Arabidopsis thaliana: one gene and its partners. The protein of the gene in region 3 interacts with the protein of the main gene of each other region in a pairwise test. Each region holds a gene or a part of one and is shown on either strand. Other genes may lie near its edges. The genes, in order: WRKY43, CRF8 and AT1G48195.

Evidence for each region.
Region 1: the proteins of AT1G48195 (region 3) and WRKY43 interact in a two-hybrid assay, tested with the Arabidopsis thaliana proteins (one large-scale study listed by BioGRID).
Region 2: the proteins of AT1G48195 (region 3) and CRF8 interact in a two-hybrid assay, tested with the Arabidopsis thaliana proteins (one large-scale study listed by BioGRID).

What each region holds. Positions count from the first base shown.
Region 1 is NC_003071.7:18,955,204-18,958,516, reverse strand, and holds WRKY43 (WRKY DNA-binding protein 43), read right to left. Parts: upstream 1,306-3,313; 5' UTR 1,264-1,305; coding exon 1,115-1,263; intron 1,029-1,114; coding exon 848-1,028; 3' UTR 592-847; downstream 1-591. Other genes in the region: KPHMT1 (ketopantoate hydroxymethyltransferase 1), read left to right, coding at 2,106-2,507, 2,875-3,228. UniProt on the Arabidopsis thaliana protein: Transcription factor. Interacts specifically with the W box (5'-(T)TGAC[CT]-3'), a frequently occurring elicitor-responsive cis-acting element.
Region 2 is NC_003070.9:26,820,823-26,824,204, reverse strand, and holds CRF8 (Integrase-type DNA-binding superfamily protein), read right to left. Parts: upstream 1,689-3,382; 5' UTR 1,329-1,688; coding exon 843-1,328; 3' UTR 534-842; downstream 1-533. Other genes in the region: GLIP6 (GDSL-motif lipase/hydrolase 6), read left to right, coding at 1,785-2,031, 2,131-2,270, 2,345-2,810, 2,898-3,133; AT1G71110 (uncharacterized protein), read right to left, coding at 3,353-3,382.
Region 3 is NC_003070.9:17,794,441-17,797,430, reverse strand, and holds AT1G48195 (Zinc finger C-x8-C-x5-C-x3-H type family protein), read right to left. Parts: upstream 1,097-2,990; 5' UTR 1,083-1,096; coding exon 834-1,082; 3' UTR 647-833; downstream 1-646. Other genes in the region: AT1G48200 (uncharacterized protein), read left to right, coding at 309-361; AT1G48190 (Galactose oxidase/kelch repeat superfamily protein), read left to right, coding at 2,268-2,337, 2,374-2,535, 2,610-2,699, 2,810-2,871.

The DNA of each region.
Region 1 (3,313 bases), on a different chromosome or scaffold from region 3:
ATTGCATTTGCTTAAGTTGAAAAGTGGATTTATATATGGAAGAAGAAAAAAAATATGAAAATGTAGTTTTTTTGTTTCTTCTTTTAATTCGGCAATCCATATTTATTAGTACACTTTGTGGCTTCAACTTCGCCAAGACTTGTTCGCTTCTTATTTTCGGTGACTATTTAAGGATGCTGATCAAAACTTGAAAGCAATTCATGTAATATATCGGAACTGACTTCGTACATGTGACATGTCTCATTGACATTGTTCATCGTGTAAATAAACAAAACAATAATCACTCACGATAAGCCAATAGGTTTATTCAAACGAAAGGAAACTGATTTGGCTTGAGAAAAATCTATGGAAACCAAATCCGGTTTTATTCAGTTTACCAGACGATATTGCTCTATGCCTCTCTATAATCATCACGTGGTAATCGTTTTACCGGAATATTACAATTGATTTGTTTTTTTATTTTGGTTATATGCTTAAAACTGATTTATAATCAAAACGAGATTGCAACTATGAACATGCAAACATATATGATTACAATGCTTTAATTTGCTCCGTTATATGAACCATGGAACATTAGACCATCTCCACCAGTAAAAATAAAGAAAGTTTCTCAAAAACATATTAATTAATATTTTAATCAAAACAGATACATTAATTATTATTTAATAGTTGAACTAATAGTGTGATTACACCTGTCCAATCATCCGAGAAATTTAACTCTCCTTCTCTCCTACTTTTTCTCCCTTCTCTCATATTTTTTTTTTAATTTTTTTTCTTTTGTTAGGTATCTCATTGAGATACTTCCATTGGAGATGCTCTTAGAACGTTAATATATATACAAACATAATTAGGTGAACTTAGAGAGGAACTGCAATTGATGAAGAAGAGGAGTTAGGGTTTGCATGAGCTCCTCACAAGGATGGTTATGGATTCCTTCATAAGTTGTCTCCACAATGCTCGTCTCCTTCGACAGCCTCTGAACTTGCTTCTTCACGTTACACATGTGTTGTGTGCATCTATAATAGCTCCTTTTGATGATCATAAGTGAGAAGAAACACACAAAAAAACAATCTTTTTAAAAACAATTTCAGATTATTTATGTTAAAAAGTTTACCTGGGATACAAGCTGTTCTTGACGGATTTCTGACCGTACTTTCTCCATCGATAACCATCATCGAGAATATCTGCATCACTCTTTGTGCGAAACGAAAATCGCGGATTTTTCATCTTCTTATCTCGAGAAGAGTCGACGAGGCCATTCATTAATGAAGAGGAGATATGATGAATCAACGAATTGTGTGTTAGAATTCTTCGTGTGATTTATATTGAAGAGATATATAAAAAGGTTTAGAAGCCAACTACATTCAACTACTTCAGACCAACAACAACAAAAAATTCCTTCACGTCATCTCACACGTGTGTGACTTAAAAAACAGAGACATGGTTTGGTCTTTACTTGAACTCCTGGAAACTGTAAACAGTAGAATCCGGTTTTGGTATCACAATGCGCAATCTCATAAAAAAGAACCGAAGCTACGATCTTAAAGGAGCTCGTGCAGAACCCTCGGATGCTCTCCAACTCCAAGAGAGTTCCAACTAGTAACCGCGATCTCAATCTCTACATTTCTCTATCTAAACCCAGAAACGGAAAAATAAAAAAGGAATCGCCTTTGGAACAGAAGTTCAATAAGATCGAAACAGAGACTGGGTTAGGCTAGAGCCTAGAGAGAAACAGAGACTGGGTTAACATAACCAGACTGAACCAAAATCCGGTTTAATATAGTAAAGATATTTTAAAACTATCTCCGTTGCCGGGACTCGAACCCGGGTCTCTCGGGTGAGAGCCGAGTATCCTGACCAGCTAGACTACAACGGATCTTGTTGATTTCGTTAAAATATTGAATTTATAGTTAAGCTATCACAATTCCTAACAGTGTCATTGCTATGCTTGATTTGTGTGTGAAACCCAGAACTGAATCGCCACTTGCCAGAATCTAAACAGCGTCCTCACTCACTAGGAATTGAATCTTCTTAAAAGTAAAATTCCTTGTTCTTGTAAACACAGACACAGTCACAGATAAGAGGGTTTCTTCATCTTCACAACAATGGCGTCCTCACTCACTAGGAATTGCTCTCGCTTCTCAAAAGCCATCTCTGTCCGTTTCATGAGTAACCTACCGGAAAACACCGTCTACGGAGGACCAAAGCCACAAAACCCAAACCAAAGAGTGACGCTAACGCATCTCAGACAAAAACACCGGAGAGGAGAACCGATCACCGTCGTAACTGCCTACGATTACCCATCCGCCGTTCATTTAGACACAGCTGGTATCGATGTTTGTCTTGTCGGTGACTCAGCTTCCATGGTTGTTCATGGTCACGACACAACACTTCCTATCTCCTTAGACGAGATGCTTGTTCATTGTCGTGCCGTTGCTCGAGGCGCTAAACGACCTCTCCTAGTTGGTGACTTGCCATTTGGTACCTACGAGTCAAGCTCTAGTCAGGTAATGTTATAAAATTGAATCTTTTTTTCTTCTAGATACCTAAATTAAACATATTTGTTGATAAGGCATGTTCTTCTGCTTAATTTTTGTGTAGGTAATTAGATTCTTGATTGCAATTTCAATACCTGAATTAATCACAACACTCAGTGGGACTTACAATGTTCAATTCATTTCCTGATCAAATGTTTAGGTGATTGGATTCTTGATAAAAAAAGTCTTAAATGATACATTATGTGTCAATGTGTCATTGCCTGTGTAATCACAGATTTAGCTTTAGTACTTGCTTATGCAAAGTAGATTCTTTACAAGATTTTGTGTCAATGAAACAAATTAGGGACCTGATTTTGGGTTTAAATGTTGGCTTCAGGCGGTTGATACTGCGGTTAGGGTTTTGAAGGAAGGAGGAATGGATGCGATTAAGCTCGAAGGAGGATCAGCTTCTAGGATCACTGCTGCAAAAGCTATAGTTGAAGCAGGAATTGCGGTTATTGGTCATGTGGGTCTAACCCCTCAGGCGATTAGCGTTCTTGGTGGTTTCAGACCCCAAGGCAGAAACATAGCTAGTGCTGTTAAAGTTGTTGAGACTGCAATGGCTTTACAAGAAGCTGGATGTTTTTCGGTTGTTTTGGAATGCGTTCCACCTCCTGTAGCTGCTGCTGCAACTTCTGCCCTCAAGATACCAACCATTGGCATTGGGGCTGGACCTTTCTGCAGTGGACAGGTTTTATTTGAAAAGTTTCGTTCTTTCCGGTTTTGTGTGTAGCCAAGAGACAAATTTGCATTTCTCATACCTGTTAATTGTTTTC
Region 2 (3,382 bases), 9.0 Mb from region 3:
GAACCAATCAAAATTTATCTTCAGATCCTTTTTTTTTTCAATTTCATAATCGTAAGTCAAAAGAAAATATCTGTTTGCTTTTTTTCTAACGCACTTGTGTTTCCTCAAACTTATTATTTTTAAACTCATGTGCACGTACATGTAAACATTCATTTCCTCTCTTTTTCTTTTTTTTCTTGTCAAAACATTCATTTCCTCTTTAGTCACTACTATTATCGAAAACATTCATTTCCTCTTTAGTCATTACTATTATAGTATTATAGAAGATCATATATATCATGTGTATGATGAAGTCTCTTGGTTTAGCTGATCTCTTCATGTTCTTTATTACTTTCTTTATCTCCAAACCCCTCACCCATGGCCATCAGTCTTCAACAAGTCAAAGTAAATTGATAAATTCAGTATTTTTCATTAGACACCCCAAAGTATAAAAATGTATCGTTGATACGGTGATACAAGAACCAAAAGATGGAAAGATATATAAAGAATTTTCAACTTTTCATCAACCATCAAAATATAACTCTGATCCAAGTCATTAACGTTCAATTTGGTTAGAGTTCTGTTCTATTATGTGTTGATCCATAAATGGTAAAAAGATTGAATAGTATACAAATAAAAAGAGCCTATTTCAACCCAAACTTTTCTTTCCTAAACGTTTTAAAAATTCAAAAAAATTTGTACCTTAAAATTTGTGTGTAAATCAAAATATAGTTCATTTCTCGAGTTTCATATATATACATAGACGAAAGACATCAAGATCATACACAACATCAGAAGATGAATTTACAAAATACGAGAGAGACCTTCTTGCTAATGCTAACAACTAAATTACCAACCCCACTTCACGCGCCTCTAGCAACCTCAGAAGCTCCAATCACCGTCTTATCCTCTTGATTCTCCGCCGGCAAACCAAAATTGGTCGGCGCGTGAGGTCCAATCAGCTTAATTGAAGCGTTATCATAAGCTAGAGCAGCTTCCTCAGCAGTGTTAAAAGTACCCAGCCAGAGACGATCACGTCGTCCTTTACAAGCTCCTCTTCCACATCTGATCTCCGCCACCCACTTCCCCCACGGCCTCTGCCTCACTCCACGATATTTCTTCTCCGTTTTCGCCGTCTTGAGAAATTCCGCCGGGATCCTGATTTTGAACCGTGTTTTGCAGACATCGAGTTTATCGGCGGAATCGGAAGGATCGATTACGATCTCTTTAACGAGGCGTTTCCCACGGCGCCGAGTCTGGGATGCTCCTCCACGCTCCTCCGTGTCTTCGTCGCTAGAAGAATCGGTGGCTTCTGCGTCGGTGAATGAGATTCTGATAATACGCTTCATAGTGAATTTGCGGAAATTAGGGTTCCGTCTTCGTCTCCATTAAAAGGAAAGCATTTGAGAGAAAGAATATGTTTTTATTCTTTCAGAATCTCTTTTTCTGATGCTTTTCATCTTTACTTATTTACTTCTCTATTTTTTTCTAACCAATCCTATGTGGGCCGTATGGGCCTCAGAGCTGAAAATGCAGTAAAATCCATGAAATTTCTCAACATGGCTTGAAGCCCATCTTCTAAAGGAAAAAACGCTTTACTCTTTTTTCCTTCATCTATGTAATAAGAAGCAGAAATTTAGGAATAAGTTTGAAACTTTAATCACACATAAGAGTAAGTGCAAAAACATGAACAATGTTCTTGCCTTCCGTGTCAATTTTGTATATATATATATATATATATATATATATATATATGTGTGTCAGTATATAATCTCCTTTTATATGATTATAAACTCATTTGTCCCATGTCTTCTTCTTCTTCAATGGACTTACTCATGTGTCTGCTTCTTCTAATCTCTCCGGTTGTTCTGGCCAAGTCTTCTTCCACCGTCCCTGCTATCTTTACCTTCGGTGACTCTATTTTTGACGCCGGAAACAACCATTACAACAAAAACTGTACCGCTCAGGCTGATTTTCCTCCTTATGGTTCTTCCTTTTTCCACCGTCCTACTGGGAGGTTCACCAACGGAAGAACCGTCGCTGACTTCATCTGTAACAAATTACCTCCCAACTCGTTAACTAAAACATTTCTTCTTCTGCAAGGAACCTTACTTTTGTCTCTTTTTTCTTTTCTTGACGCAATAATTGCAGCGGAATTTGTAGGCCTTCCATTACAGAAACCATTCTTGGAATTGCAGATTCAAATCTTGAATGGAACTTCAAACTTTTCAAATGGCATTAACTTTGCTAGTGCTGGTAGTGGTCTCTTGCTTGATACCAACAAATTTATGGTAAATATCTACCTTGACCAAATAAAATGTTTGTTTCTTGTGAATCACTCATTAAGTACACATATCAAATGTAGGGCGTGACACCGATCCAAACCCAGCTACAGCAATTCCAGACACTTGTAGAGCAAAACCTTATCGAAAAATCTATAATCCAAGAGTCTCTCTTCTTATTAGAAACTGGTTCTAACGACATCTTCAACTACTTCCTCCCATTCCGAGCTCCTACACTTTCTCCAGACGCTTATGTGAACGCAATGTTAGACCAAGTGAACAAAACGATTGATCAGATCTACAAACTAGGCGCACGCCGCATCGCTTTCTTCTCCTTAGGTCCTGTAGGTTGTGTCCCTGCAAGAGCCATGCTTCCTAATGCCCCAACCAATAAATGCTTTGGTAAGATGAATGTTATGGCCAAGATGTATAATAAAAGACTTGAAGATATAGTGAACATAATCCCCACTAAGTACCCTGGAGCCATTGCGGTGTTTGGAGCTGTATATGGTATCACTCACAGATTTCAAACCTACCCTGCCCGTTACGGTAAACTCAATATAGTTAATTAACTTCCATCTTTGAGATCTTTTTCAAATGTGTCTATGAGAAAGCTGAATCATGTTTTTGGTGAAGGGTTTTCGGATGTTTCAAACGCGTGTTGTGGGAACGGTACACTGGGAGGATTGATGCAGTGTGGAAGAGAAGGATACAAGATTTGCAATAACCCAAATGAGTTTCTGTTTTGGGATTTTTATCATCCCACAGAACACACTTACCGTCTCATGTCAAAAGCTTTATGGAATGGAAACAAAAACCATATCAGACCATTTAATCTCATGGCTCTTGCCACCAACAAGATCACATTTTAATACTTATATCTCCCTTGTATATAGAATTCATAATGAGTTTGTATCTGAATTAAGACTCGAAATCATTGTGAAAACAAAAGCCAGAAAGTGAAACTTCGCTCCACTTCTGGTCTCTTCTTCCTCTTCTACTGTAACATGAACGCTACAAAATGTTTTTATTGTTCTCTTTCATATCATTATGAAATACAATATCTGATTCTATCTAACTATACCTCTATACTATACGCATTCTACAGAAAGCTTAGGTTC
Region 3 (2,990 bases):
GTCACTTGTAGAACAAACAAATACTTTCCCTAGATTTAACAACAGAAGAGGGCTTACTGGTTTGAGAATGTGTGGTTAGGTATCACTGTTTGATACATCAATTTACATCTGTGCAAGTACAAACTAGGCTAGATTGGTGGGGTTGATAAAGAAAACCTGACGCACGTATTGAATTCAAAGAGAAATGGGGTTAGAATCGATATGATTTAGAGTGTAACATGAAGGGAAATAGATATGAACATGATTAGAAGCCGCCTTTCGGAGATTAGCTGTGTGTTCACTAACTGGTTTTATGTTCTTTCTTCCAGGTGACACAGCCAAGGAAGATTCTAAAGTGTCCACTCCCAAGATCATGATATGAGAGGTTGTTAAATTTTTGGTAGGTTCATTTCACTTCAAATTATTCACTCGGCTAAAGTAAAGATTAGCATTTAGTCTCATCATTTGCATAAATTGCACTTGTAAACTAGTTTGGCATCTATTGTCTGTTGTTGTGATCTTTTTTTTTTGTACCTCCTGGTATGGACAAAGCTCCTAAAATAAGGTAAGACCCTCCTTTGGGTTGATTCTTAAGGCTTTCACTATGTACCATTAGTCCAAAATTTGGAGACGACAAAGCCTTGTTTGTTGGGTAAACTTGAAAAGAAAAATCCAATTTTGTTACATGAAATGAAAATTTGATACCATGGTGATTAACTTGATCCTTAGATTAATAACATCCTTTCATACATATAAAGAGTAAATAAAACATAGATATTAGAATATTATTGAAAATAAACACGAGATAAGGAATATCAGTTTCAAATTTATCATTTGCAAGTTGAGGATGATGGTTAGGTAAAATGGTCGAATTTACAAGTCGGACCGGATCTGCAAATGCCGAAGCGACTGTAATGCGGGCAAATGGCTTGACCAGGTCTTAATGGTAAGCCCTTGTCATTGAGAGTACATTGAGGCTCGCTCGGCGTTATATTCTTCGGGTGATGGTATTTGCAGTTTTGTTTCAGATAACAGTTTCCAGTTCTAAGATAATAGCTGCACTCTGGTTCGCCTGGACGTTCTGGGAATTTTTCTTCAGACATATTTTCTCTTCTCCTAGTATTATATTGTTTGCATGTACTTGTATATCTCTTCTACCTATAATCTATATATATTACCAGAAGAAAATCTAGCATTGAATACTAAAATGACATGTTTTGAAGAAAGATAGTATCATCTTTAATATTTATTGTTTTAGTTATAATTGTATTTAAACAAAATTATAATATCATGATGCTATATTTATATTTTTTCATTTAATTATTACTTAATTAATATTTAGTGGATTTTATTTTGCTAATATTTTAGATAAATACATTTTAATCATATAAATCTTCTTAACATAAACTACATGTGACATAAGTCGTTTTCTTAAAATTAGATTATTATTATTTTGACAGCAAAAACTCCACCTTTTTTTTTGAATATTTAAAAAAACTCCACCTTTATTAAGCATGTTCCTAAAATTAAAATATAAAAGTAATGAATACAAAAGTTAAATATGAAAATCACTAATAATGTAATCGGAGGCCGGATCGATCTGGTGACCCAATCACAAAACTTGTGAACCATTATTCGATCAATCAATGTACCGTGTGAGCCAAGGCTCTTTATTTCTAACCTAAGAATTTTCAGATTTAGGTTTTGAGGCCTATTAAGATTAAATGAACGGTATTTTGGTAAATGATAACTATATCTAAATTGATCGATCCCTAGACAACTCTCTCAAGAAGAAGTAGAAGAAATCAAAAGTTTGATCAAACCCTATGATAGAAAATGACGACGACAACGCAACTGGCACTTCCCTATGATTTGCTATTGGGCTGCATTGCACACGTCTTCTAGATTGTACTATCCTAATCTTTCCTTAGTCTCCAAGAGCTTTCGATCTCTCGTAACTTCACCGGAGCTTTACAAGACCCGCTCTCTCCTAGGCCACGCCGAGAGCTGTCTCTATTTGTGCTTACGGTTCCCTCCTGACACTAATCTAACCCTCGTTGGTACACTCTCTGCCAAATACCTAACCGAATGAAGAAGAATAATTCAAGTGGCAAAATTTACGTCCCAATCCTAATCCAACCATCTCCCACTTCTCCTCCTCCACAATCGCATTCCTCGAATCATATGGTTACCGTTGTAAGATGTACAAAATTGGCGGGGATGTGCCTTCTTCTTCTAGAGTCTCTGTCTTGGATTGGAAGTCTCACACATAGAACCAAACTTTAAGCATGCGGGTGGACCGGAGCTCCTCTTCCTCCACTGTAAGTCTACTTGAGGGGAAGATATATGTAGCAGGAGGTTGTGAAGATCGCAATTCTGTGGACTGGGTTTAAGGGTTTGATCCAAAGACTCACACTTGGAGCTCTGTGACTAGCCCTAGCGCGGTGATACGGAATGAAAGTGTAGCTGAACACAAAAGCTTGGGACTTGGTGGAAAATTCTACCTCTTTGGTTATGACTCAGATAAGTCTGCGGTGGTTTACAATCCCAAAGAAGGTAGATGGAACCCGGTAGGATTATATATTAATATAAGTAATGAAGTGTACTATAGTTGTTTTGTTGTGTGATAGACAACGTCTTGTTCTATAGGTTTCACGGACTCTTCCATTGGTATGACTATAAGGGAAACTTTTGGAAGCAAGTGAATGGTCTTGGGCCAGGTAAAGATGAAGACCAATACTAAAGCGACGTCATCTAAGGCACAACGGTCATCTTCAAAAAAGTTGGAAGAAAACGACGAAACAAAAACATAGCAAGGAGGTGATGAAAGTTGCTTGTACGGAGAAAGTAGCGATTCTCGCAGCCCTCGATACGTTTGACAACGCAAGATGATGACATCTGTCCTCTCTCTAGGGTTTTTTCGATTAACCCATTCTCTTGTCTATAAATACTACAATGTTCTACCGATTCCTTTTAGCTTCCTTTGCGTTACTACTCTGCTTCCTCTGCTT